3 linked regions of the Saccharomyces cerevisiae S288C genome follow. The protein of the gene in region 3 binds, or shares a complex with, the protein of the main gene of each other region. Each region holds a gene or a part of one and is shown on either strand. Other genes may lie near its edges. The genes, in order: MCM21, IML3 and CHL4. A codon is read from its position in the direction of its gene.

What was found.
Region 1: the proteins of CHL4 (region 3) and MCM21 are in contact, whole or in part, in a cryo-EM structure (PDB 6QLE), measured with the Saccharomyces cerevisiae proteins. Residues at the interface, in NP_010540.3 of Saccharomyces cerevisiae: Lys117 (codon at 1,636), Pro118 (codon at 1,633), Val120 (codon at 1,627), Lys122 (codon at 1,621), Gln124 (codon at 1,615), Pro153 (codon at 1,528), Leu206 (codon at 1,369), Asn207 (codon at 1,366), Ser208 (codon at 1,363), Pro209 (codon at 1,360), Pro260 (codon at 1,207), Ser261 (codon at 1,204), Arg262 (codon at 1,201), Glu265 (codon at 1,192), Ser266 (codon at 1,189), Trp270 (codon at 1,177), Tyr273 (codon at 1,168), Ala274 (codon at 1,165), Ser275 (codon at 1,162), Phe278 (codon at 1,153), Glu279 (codon at 1,150), Arg280 (codon at 1,147), Ser281 (codon at 1,144), Pro282 (codon at 1,141), Leu283 (codon at 1,138), His284 (codon at 1,135), Tyr286 (codon at 1,129), Lys287 (codon at 1,126), His289 (codon at 1,120), Gly291 (codon at 1,114); in NP_010604.4 of Saccharomyces cerevisiae: Arg157 (codon at 1,199), Leu160 (codon at 1,190), Glu161 (codon at 1,187), Ile164 (codon at 1,178), Glu167 (codon at 1,169), Asn168 (codon at 1,166), Arg171 (codon at 1,157), Met172 (codon at 1,154), Phe178 (codon at 1,136), Leu180 (codon at 1,130), Asp182 (codon at 1,124), Pro183 (codon at 1,121), Ile184 (codon at 1,118), Leu186 (codon at 1,112), Ile188 (codon at 1,106), Ile195 (codon at 1,085), Arg199 (codon at 1,073), Met201 (codon at 1,067), Arg205 (codon at 1,055), Glu207 (codon at 1,049), Ser214 (codon at 1,028), Phe216 (codon at 1,022), Lys218 (codon at 1,016), Pro219 (codon at 1,013), His220 (codon at 1,010), Tyr221 (codon at 1,007), Leu223 (codon at 1,001), Arg227 (codon at 989), Ile228 (codon at 986), Phe234 (codon at 968).
Region 2: the proteins of CHL4 (region 3) and IML3 are in contact, whole or in part, in a cryo-EM structure (PDB 6QLF), measured with the Saccharomyces cerevisiae proteins. Residues at the interface, in NP_010540.3 of Saccharomyces cerevisiae: Phe306 (codon at 1,069), Leu307 (codon at 1,066), Asn308 (codon at 1,063), Asp309 (codon at 1,060), Ser374 (codon at 865), Tyr376 (codon at 859), Leu389 (codon at 820), Asn391 (codon at 814), Ile393 (codon at 808), Asn394 (codon at 805), Arg396 (codon at 799), Ile397 (codon at 796), Ile398 (codon at 793), Thr399 (codon at 790), Ile400 (codon at 787), Lys401 (codon at 784), Leu402 (codon at 781), Lys403 (codon at 778), Phe404 (codon at 775), Asn405 (codon at 772), Gly406 (codon at 769), Asn407 (codon at 766), Asp408 (codon at 763), Ile409 (codon at 760), Gly411 (codon at 754), Gly412 (codon at 751), Leu413 (codon at 748), Glu415 (codon at 742), Leu416 (codon at 739), Lys419 (codon at 730); in NP_009665.3 of Saccharomyces cerevisiae: Pro151 (codon at 2,244), Glu152 (codon at 2,247), Thr153 (codon at 2,250), Gln154 (codon at 2,253), Asp155 (codon at 2,256), Lys156 (codon at 2,259), Asn157 (codon at 2,262), Leu158 (codon at 2,265), Arg159 (codon at 2,268), Gln160 (codon at 2,271), Phe161 (codon at 2,274), Ser162 (codon at 2,277), Ile163 (codon at 2,280), Glu164 (codon at 2,283), Ile165 (codon at 2,286), Pro166 (codon at 2,289), Ser169 (codon at 2,298), Gly172 (codon at 2,307), Leu173 (codon at 2,310), Leu175 (codon at 2,316), Gly176 (codon at 2,319), Tyr191 (codon at 2,364), Tyr193 (codon at 2,370), Asn194 (codon at 2,373), Glu195 (codon at 2,376), Thr196 (codon at 2,379), Gly197 (codon at 2,382), Met198 (codon at 2,385), Ala199 (codon at 2,388), Arg202 (codon at 2,397).

The regions. Positions count from the first base shown.
Region 1 is NC_001136.10:1,101,735-1,105,507, reverse strand, and holds MCM21 (Mcm21p), read right to left. Parts: upstream 1,751-3,773; coding exon 1,699-1,750; intron 1,616-1,698; coding exon 561-1,615; downstream 1-560. Other genes in the region: YFT2 (Yft2p), read left to right, coding at 1-505; HIM1 (Him1p), read right to left, coding at 2,080-3,324. UniProt on the Saccharomyces cerevisiae protein: Component of the kinetochore, a multiprotein complex that assembles on centromeric DNA and attaches chromosomes to spindle microtubules, mediating chromosome segregation and sister chromatid segregation during meiosis and mitosis.
Region 2 is NC_001134.8:453,293-456,323, reverse strand, and holds IML3 (Iml3p), read left to right. Parts: upstream 1-1,793; coding exon 1,794-2,531; downstream 2,532-3,031. Other genes in the region: AIM3 (Aim3p), read right to left, coding at 1-1,502. UniProt on the Saccharomyces cerevisiae protein: Component of the kinetochore, a multiprotein complex that assembles on centromeric DNA and attaches chromosomes to spindle microtubules, mediating chromosome segregation and sister chromatid segregation during meiosis and mitosis.
Region 3 is NC_001136.10:963,521-967,096, reverse strand, and holds CHL4 (Chl4p), read right to left. Parts: upstream 1,985-3,576; coding exon 608-1,984; downstream 1-607. Other genes in the region: ubiquitin-protein ligase RMD5, read left to right, coding at 1-540; MET32 (Met32p), read left to right, coding at 2,532-3,107; CCR4-NOT core subunit BTT1, read right to left, coding at 3,236-3,576. UniProt on the Saccharomyces cerevisiae protein: Component of the kinetochore, a multiprotein complex that assembles on centromeric DNA and attaches chromosomes to spindle microtubules, mediating chromosome segregation and sister chromatid segregation during meiosis and mitosis.

The sequences.
Region 1 (3,773 bases), 140 kb from region 3:
TCTGCTCAAAAATAGAATAATCAGTATTATGATCACTCAATATGCTTGCAAGTTCGTTCTAAAATATCTATTATTGTTTTTGAATTTCCAATTTATCGATCATGTTTTCATTTGGACAGGGGGAGAATGCAGTTCTGGTAGTAAAACGACATCAGCTGAAAAGTGCCGTCTAGAAAATGGGAAATGGGATGGTGGGTTTGACATTAGTGGACACTTCTGCTTTCTTGTGAGTATAAGCATGATTCTTTGGATGGAACTTCACTTATTCAGTAGATTTGTTCAAGCTGAAGATATGTTTTGGGTTGTGAATAAGTGGGTACGAGCTTGCCTTGCCATTGTTTGCGCTGTCCTAGTAATTTGGATATGTATTCTCTGGGTTACCGCTATTTATTATCATACTATCTTGGAAAAAGTGTTAGGTTGCCTTATGGGTTTCATATGCCCTGTTTTCATATACCACATTCTACCCAAAATTGGGATACTACACAATTACTTATATCTATGATAAACAGAGAAAATTAGCTCTATCCTCTTTCTATAAAGTATATTTTTGTTAACATTCACTTGAATATTGTCGCGAAAGAATGGTTTAATTTTAATTCCAAATCATCCAAAGAACCGAGCAATGCAATTTCCCATTTACTTTTATTATTTTGACTAAAATCATGAATATCGTCCAATATTGAACATGAAACTATTTCATTTTGTTTTACAAACAACTCGACTTTAATATCCTTCACAAAAAACGAAACCATTGAAGATTCTAAATCTAAATCTAAGTCGTGGATTATCTTCTTAGCTTCTAAGTCCTTAAAAATCTGTCGTCTTTTCTGTACTTCCACAAGTTGCAGGAAGACTCTTTTAGCAAATAAATAGGCGTCATCATGAGATATCACTAGTCCCCCATTGGTGTCATCAAATATACCTTGGACATCAATGAAACTCGGGATTGTATGCTTGAACAGGAACCAACTATTCGATTTGATCCTCTTTTTCAACAATACATAGTGAGGTTTTTCAAATTGGGATGTCCGTTCGCTGAAGACTTCCAGTCGTATTCCCAGCATTTCTCTATCAACAAATATTTCACCGCTAGCATCTTTTATCTTAAGGTCAATAGGGTCCACAAGAGGGAAAAATGTTATACCAAACATTCTATAAACATTTTCCAGGACAATATAATCTTCCAACTCACTTCTATCACTTGTACTAATATCGTCTATTTTTAGTTTTCGCTTTCTTTTTGAAGGTGACGTTAGAATGTCTGTATCCAATAAATCTGCCACCCCAGGATCAAACATTTGATGCTGAACCATTGGCTGGGTCTTTAAAACCCATTCTTGTTCTGGTAAAATTTCCTCATTCTCCAGCTTAGCTCTTTTCTTTGGTTCATACGGTATTGGCGTTGCTGGTATATCCGCTTGCGCCCTTGATATGTCCTTGTCATCTGTCTCTTCCAATTCTGGATGCTCATTAAATAAAAAATTATTCAACTGTGGGAATTGATCGAATAGATCTTCAAATTCTTGTACTATAGGATTAGCGCTCTCCTCATTTTTTCTTTTATCTTTTATCTTCGCTTTGAGCTTCTCACGACTTTCTTCTAATGAATTGACTGTGAAGATTCTACTATGTTAGTGTTCAACTTAATCATTTTTTTAAAAGAAAGAAAATTGTTACAGCCTCAAAATCACATACTTTCACTGAGTAAAGATTCAATGTCCTGCTGTAAATCATCGATTCTACTCATTGCCAGGAGCGTTACTGATAGTTTGAAAGAATTGCTCAAGTAAAGAAATCACATTTTCCCCTCATTATCCATATGGCTTTTGTTTGTTTTTTCTTCAGTTTTGAAATATGCGCGTTTTCTTACCATCATTATAAACTTAGGGAAGATCTATCATAGAATTGGTCGGCCATTACTGGCGATTAGTAAAACAATACATAAAGTTTGCATATTCAATGCGATAAAAATTTAAGACGGCCCAGGTATCGAATCCATGATATAGTGGTTCTTTTATGTATTAGGCTACTATTTATTTAATAACTTCGCATCTATCAAAAGAAAAGACTGACTGTTCACACAATCATATCAATTTGATAACTGCTAATTACTTCCAGCTTAGGTCCCGCCTCTTTACTTTTCCTTTCAATCGCCATCAAAGAGGCAACATAAGAAACCTTTGAAACTGGGACAGCGTATCCTAATAATGCAGATCCTGGCATCCTATATATACTGGAAGCAATTATTTCGCTTAACTTTGTTCTTAAGCCAATCCTTCTGGCCTCACTGATATATTTCTTTTTATAAACTAAAAGATAGTGAGGATAATAAAAAATTTTTTCCAAGAAAGTGGAGTTTTCTTTACCCAATTCAACGTTTATAGGATTTCCGTGCTGTCCACACATCGGACCTGGCCTCAAAATAACTAGCTCCTTTAGCTTATTTGGCAAAGCTTCATCCAAGTCATTTTCTAATTTAGCTTTTATTCTAAAATACTCGAAAGTTTTACTAAGAAAATCATTATTAAAGGCAGTTGTAACCACCAACCTTTTGTTAGTTGTATTCGTGAATTCTTGTGCTAAATTAAAAGGTAAGTAATAGTCAGCAAAGGAACTTGGTACCTGAGTTCTCCGCACTCTAGCTGAGGTGGAGCCCAAAGAGCACACCATAGTGCTAATATCACACAGACTAGGCAAACTTCTACCGGGAACGTAATTTTTGTTGTCAATGTCAAACTTTTCCAGCTTTTGTGTTCCTGAGAATATCCGTGGAAGCAATTTTGGCCAAGTTTCAGATCTGGGGATGATCAATTGCGTTACAGTAAAATTACAAATGATCTCAATACCTTTTTCCTTTCCGCATGCATAATGTAGTGTGTAACTGAACTGTTTCTGATTATAAACAAAAGAATAACCATCTTTTCCCCTCTCTTCAGGCGTATTTTTAATAAATCCTTCTTCAAAATTATCATAACAAAAAGTATTAGGACTAGACGGTACTTTTTCAGTGTCTTTTTCTTTCCTGCTTCTCAAGTAATATCTGCCACCTTGCCAAGTAACTGATCTCATATTTATATAATCAATGGTCTTCATAAATGATTTCTCCTCATTGATGCACCTTCTATTAACACAAAAGACATGTTTATTGAGAACGACATTTCCCTTTATTTCACTTAAGCTATCAAGCTTGCCTTGTAGGTCCGAAACATTTTTAATATATAAATTTATGTCCAACAGGTTCTCTAAAATACCTTTTCCTACTAAACTAGATGATCCAAACAATAAAACGTAATCTGTAAACGTGTTGACACTATAACTCATTTCTGATCAACCTTTCTAGTTTGGAATATTCTTCAAAGGGTCTATATGTATAAAAAGCTGTCATTTATATTAAAAAGAATTTATAGCGTTTACTGCGGATCAAAATTAAATACGTCAATTTTTCTTAAAATTTCTTTTAATCTAAATGACACAAAAAATGTCACCCATCATTATATGTATTGAAAACCAAAAAAAAAAAAGGAAAATTATACTTTCAATGAAAGACACAAAAATGAAGAAGTTCAAGGATATAAAAGTTAGTTTTTACCTGTTGAATTATATGCAGAGTTACTGTTAAATTACAACAACTTATCGTTTCTTGATGAGTATTCAAGGTGACGGAATATTATCATATATGATGTAATAAAATGACATAAATGATAAGAATGCGTTATCAAATTTAAAAGCAACTGAAACGCACGGATTGATGATAAAAAAGGATAACGATT
Region 2 (3,031 bases), on a different chromosome or scaffold from region 3:
CTTTCATCGTTTTCTTTGTTTCCAGAGTTCCTTTCATTGTCTGCAGTAGTAGTTCTTGAATGCTTTGCTGGCAATGAAGCCGCCGAAGAGGTTGTGTTAGGCTGTATTTTCCCACTTGGCGCAGGTTCCTGGTGTACAACTGCTCCTCTATCCCTATGAGTGGGAGGTGGTGGAAGGCTACTAACGTCTACAGTGGGAATATCGATTTTGGGCTTCGGAGCAGGTGCGTCTGGGTCAAATGGAGTAACTTCAAAATGTGGGGTTGAGCCAGTAGAATCAAGAGAAGGCTCAATCGGATAGATGTTTCCCTGTTGCATTGGTTGCGGTGGCTGTGGCTGCATTCTTACAGGCACAGGCGGTTGTCCACCGACTGGAGGCTGACCTTGCATGGGTGAAGCTCCATAGCTGGGGTTCGAATCTTGCATGTTTGTAGTACTTGACATGGCTTGGCCATAGACAGGCTGAACCGCAGCCATCCCAGAAACTCCTTCCACGTTCATTTGTGGCAACAAAGCGTTGTTTTGGTTCAGAGGCTGCTGTTGCTGTTGCTGTTGCTGTTGCTGTTGCCCAAAGCCATTTGACAGAGGCTCTCCGGGCGCTGGCAAGATCACTTGACCGCGCGGGGGCGGTAATGGTTGCCCTTGTTGTTGCTGTTGTGGTTGTGCAGGTGATGGTAAAACTTGCTGGCCAAACTGTGTCGTGGGCTGCTGCTGTTGGCCCGATGGAAATTGGGATTGTCCGAGATTGGTTGAGCCATGTGATACGTATTGCGGCTGCTGATGACACTGAAGACCGTTCTGGAAAGACGGTGATGGTGCCGGATTACTTGATTGGGTACCATATTGCAGATTTTGCGAGACAAACCCTGTGCTTTGCTGAGAAGCAGAGTTCAGAGATACCTGACTTGGAATTGCATTTTGGGGTTGATTTTGTTGCGGCAGCGACTGGTAGCTGGTTGCATTAGAATTTGACCCATACGGTGGTACTTGCTCTCCATATATAGGCGGCTGCTGTGGCACTACACCTTGTTGCAGCTGCTGTTGCTGTGGCATTACACCTTGTTGCAGCTGCTGTTGTGGATACTGATTATACTGTGGTTGTGCGTATTGTGACTGTTCCGTCGATCCTGCGCCAGGTTGGCCTTGGTATGCACCCTGAAAAGCATAACTGGCCTGACCATTTGGCATTTGCTGTTGCTGTTGTCCTGTATAAGTTTTTTGTCCAGGTTTCAAAGGTGGGGGAGGAAAGGACTTTGGGTCTTTTAAACTTCTTATATCGGTCGGCTTTCTTTCGTACTCCATCTCATCTTCGCTATCATACTCCTCATCACTTGAATTTTTCTTACCACTCTTCCTTTCCCTACGCGCTTTGCTGTTGTTATAGTGCTTCTTACTTGCCTTATACCCTGTCTTGGCAACGTACTTTGTTCCTTGGTAACCATATTTACCGGCGCTCTTCAGCCCTGAAGTGATGGAATCTTTGTTGTTCTCCCAAAATCCCATGCTGGTTGATAACTTGATTTTTTTATGAAAGACCTCTCTCGAACATACGATTATGTAAACTCAAAATGACTTTATCCATATATGTATACACTTAATTTAGATGATGAAATATAAAAAAATAGGGTGGTCCCTGGTTTTCCTGAAGCGCGATTTAGGCAGATCCAGTGGTACTACGGGAAAAAAAAATGCCGACACCGATATGAAATAGACAACAACCATAGTGGGATGATCTGGTCGACTGCATGGTTGATTTGATTGTCTATAGGTATCAACGTACTTCCTTTGGATGGAATGCCTTATACTTGGAAGTTTTTAGGAATCAGCAAGCAACTTTCACTGGAAAATGGTATAGCAAAGTTGAACCAATTGCTAAACCTGGAAGTAGATTTAGACATTCAAACCATTCGAGTACCCAGTGATCCTGATGGTGGTACCGCCGCTGACGAGTATATCCGTTACGAAATGAGGTTGGACATCTCTAATTTAGATGAGGGCACTTACTCTAAGTTCATTTTCTTGGGGAACTCAAAAATGGAGGTGCCGATGTTTTTGTGCTATTGCGGGACAGATAACCGCAATGAAGTGGTATTGCAGTGGCTGAAGGCAGAGTACGGTGTCATTATGTGGCCGATAAAATTTGAACAGAAGACCATGATAAAGTTAGCTGACGCCAGCATTGTGCACGTAACGAAAGAGAACATCGAACAAATTACCTGGTTTAGCTCAAAGTTATATTTTGAACCAGAAACACAAGACAAAAACTTGCGGCAATTCAGTATAGAAATACCGAGAGAAAGCTGTGAGGGTTTGGCTCTTGGCTATGGTAATACTATGCACCCGTATAACGATGCAATTGTACCCTACATTTATAATGAAACGGGGATGGCGGTGGAAAGATTACCGTTGACTTCCGTCATATTGGCAGGGCACACGAAAATAATGAGAGAATCCATTGTCACTTCAACACGAAGTCTCAGGAACAGAGTTCTAGCAGTTGTACTCCAATCGATTCAGTTTACCAGCGAGTAACACTATAAAGAATATTCACCAAGATACAATAAAAAACCACAGCTCTACCTTTTTTGTACATATGAACCTGAAGACCTTCATGAATCATCGTCATTATCAGTAATATCCGGTTCGTCATATCTGCAATGACACCCCACAAAATCCCAGAGACATTACAATTTAGTGTAGAGATCCCGACACAACGGGCCAATGGCTGCTATGAACTAATGTTCACATAGTTTAATTTTGTTGAACTTTCAGTATATATTTGCATAAAATCATATAGACGAGCGCACTTAGCGGAAAGTGCGGCAGTCATACAAGCACGAGGAAAAAGAGGACACGACTCATTTTTCTTTACATGATAAGCCCAACAAAATGAAAACAAATAGAGTTCCTTGTTTTCATTTCATCTAATCAAGAAAAAAAAAGCAATTCTATGGCGATGTAGGAAAATAGACACAATTCGTCTAGCTTTATCTTATTTCATTCTATTTTTCTTATAACACTGCAGCAACTGC
Region 3 (3,576 bases):
CAGAACGCACCCCTGGATTGCTTTAGACATAGGGAGAAGGAATTAATGCAAAACGTCGTACCATTATTAACTAAATCGCTAATAGGTCAACCTATTGAAGATATTGATTCTAAAGTAAATAAGGAATTAAAAGAATGCACGTCGTTATTTATAAAAGAATATTGTGCTGCAAAACATATTTTCTTTGACTCTCCCTTGTTTTTGATAGTATTGAGTGGTTTAATTTCTTTCCAATTTTTCATCAAATACAAAACCATCAGGGAGTTAGCGCACGTTGACTGGACTACGAAAGATGAGTTGCCATTTGATGTCAAGTTACCAGATTTTCTGACTCATTTCCATCCGATCTTCATCTGTCCCGTCTTAAAGGAGGAAACCACTACAGAAAATCCTCCTTATTCACTGGCATGCCATCACATCATTTCTAAAAAGGCGCTAGACAGATTATCGAAGAACGGAACAATTACTTTCAAGTGCCCATACTGCCCCGTAAATACTTCAATGAGCAGTACAAAAAAGGTTCGTTTTGTTATGCTTTGACTGAAATTTTTGCATAGGTTTTTTTTTTTTTTTTTTATTGGAAGCGATAACAGAACACAGTAGTTTTCTACAGTAAACCACCTTTAGCAACCTGCTCTCGCTGAAAATCTCCATTCATTATCGTTCCTGAGAACGATCCATTTTCTCCAGCCAACCACCCAGGAACTTTATCAATATTTATTAAATTTTTATCGCATAGTTCGTGTAATCCCCCAAAAATATCATTACCATTAAATTTCAATTTTATGGTAATTATTCTACTGTTTATTTCGTTTTTTAAAGTGAATCCAACTTTTTCAATAGGAACTAAGGAACTGTATCTAGAAATGTACACTGGCTCACCAGAATCTTCATTTTTCTTTCCATTCCTAATATTGTGGACATGTTCGTTAAATTCTTTCAAATCATTATATTTCTGATCCATTACGCCGTTTGCTGAACCTTTGAATTTGATCATGTTTTTCTCTAACCTTAGTCGTCTAATTTCAGGTTCTTCTTTTCCGTAAAAATTCTCATCGTCATTTAAGAAAGAATCATCAAATTCTCTAACCATTACCTTTTTACCAGTAAGGCCTTGGTGCTTTTTGTAGTCGTGTAGTGGTGACCGTTCAAAGTTAGCACTAGCATAACATTCCCATGGGCCCATAGACTCCGCAAATCTCGAAGGTCCTAATAAAGTCATTATATTATGTATTGATTTCACGGGTATTTTCTGTACCGGTTTGAAGATGATTGTTTCTCTTTCTGATATCGTTCGACTAATGCTCTGCAAAACTAGTCTAGCATAAATATCCTTGTCAACTGAATGGAAAATTATTGGAGAATTTAGCGGGAATGCAACGTAATATGGTCTCCTTGATATTAATGGTTTCCCTTGGAATTTGTCTAACTTGTTGTAAAGAGACTCTTTATTTATACTCCCTATATTAGGCGTACTCAAAAATAAATTATTGCTGTCAAATAGCTGTATTCTGGTAATTAACACTGGCAAAGAGGGATGTTTAAACATGTAAACATGACAATGGTAAATTTTCGCTAGATCTGTTTGTAAATTTTCTATAAATTTGGCAGGTTGGAGCTTTACTACGTAAGGTTTCCCATCTCCCCGTAAAGCTTTTGATGGAAGCCACTTAAATTTCTCTGGTTTACTTATCATTAAATGGCAATCTATTTCTGCTAATTGGAAAACATTCAGGCCATCCGGCCAGTATACGTATAATATCCTATTTACTATAACATTTCGCCTCACGCCTTTCTCAATCAGTAAGTCTAATGTTTCTGTCAATAAATATATGTCACCATCAAATGACCCACCGAATTTTGCGAACCATGATAGCGTAAGATCATATAATACCGTTACCGGCAGCTTCATCAATTGTTTGAAAACTACTAGTGTGTCGGAAGTTGGTACATAGTTATCTTCAAGCCGTAATTCGTTAGACATTAATTGCTACTCAAATATACTAGTCAAAGATAGTATCCACCAAAATCTTTCCCCGCTAAAATAACGCCAGATGCTTTCTATGCTTCTAATCTTTTACCATTTACCTTTGTTTATTTCAATATAAACTTTAATTTACAGTCCCTATCTATTGCCCGACTGGACTAACATGCACGTGACATTTTGTGATGGTTTTTCGTCCCTTACTTAGTACGCTTAGTACGCCACAGTTTATATTTTCTTGACAATAATAAAGAACCTGATTGTGGGTTAGAACTTGCTATACTTTTAGTTTAAAATAAGCAGGAAATAATCTTGAGTTCTGTATCATTATTATAAATAAAACTATATTTGTTCTCTTTGTCGCCCTCGGAACTTTCCTCATTACATTGACGAGGTATATATAGATATAGTAGATATACATATCTATCCATGGTATATATGTATGCATCTGGATAATTGAATAGGGTTTCATGTCATATGCCAAGAATTTGTTAATAATATAGTGGAAAAAAGTCAAGAGGTATTATAAATTTCAAAAAAGTACCAAATGGAGGATCAGGATGCTGCATTTATCAAACAGGCTACAGAAGCAATAGTGGATGTATCATTAAATATAGATAACATAGATCCTATAATAAAAGAGTTATTAGAAAGGGTAAGGAATAGGCAAAACAGGTTACAAAATAAAAAACCAGCACTCATACCGGCAGAAAATGGTGTTGATATAAATAGTCAAGGCGGTAACATAAAGGTTAAAAAGGAAAACGCATTACCAAAACCACCGAAGTCCAGCAAAAGCAAACCCCAAGATCGTAGAAATAGTACTGGTGAAAAAAGATTTAAATGTGCGAAATGTTCGTTGGAATTTTCAAGATCATCAGATTTGAGAAGGCACGAAAAGACACACTTCGCCATATTGCCTAACATTTGTCCTCAATGTGGCAAAGGTTTTGCAAGGAAAGATGCATTGAAAAGACATTATGATACACTGACATGTAGGAGAAACAGGACTAAATTACTAACTGCGGGTGGTGAGGGTATCAATGAATTACTGAAAAAAGTCAAGCAATCCAACATCGTTCATCGTCAAGATAACAACCACAATGGTAGCAGTAATGGCTGAAAGAGTAAATAGCGTGTATCTTCTCAAATAAGAAAATATATATTCATCTGCAACATTAATGTGATAGCATTTCCACTTCGACATTCGCCACTAGCTATAACGTTTACTGGCAATTATTATGAACTATGTCAGCTATTCATCACTTGTTGTTTTGTCTCGCTGCATCTGTCGCCCAGCTGGTCGAGCACCGTCTGTTCATTTTCTAGGTTATGAGCCAAACCTGTCAAATACTCAAGTTCTTGGCTACCTAATTGAGAGGCTACGCTCGGATACAGCCCATTAAGTGTATTCTCTTTCGGTTGGCCATGAATCATTGTGAGATTGCATTGAGGGGCAATCTGTACAACTGCACTGTTAAAATGTAAAACCTTGCCATTCTTTTTGAAAAAATTTGCTTCGGCAACGTTTTCAATGGTCATTGGATGCAGTTTATGAAGTTCAGCTTGTAACTTGGTATTATCCTTGTCAT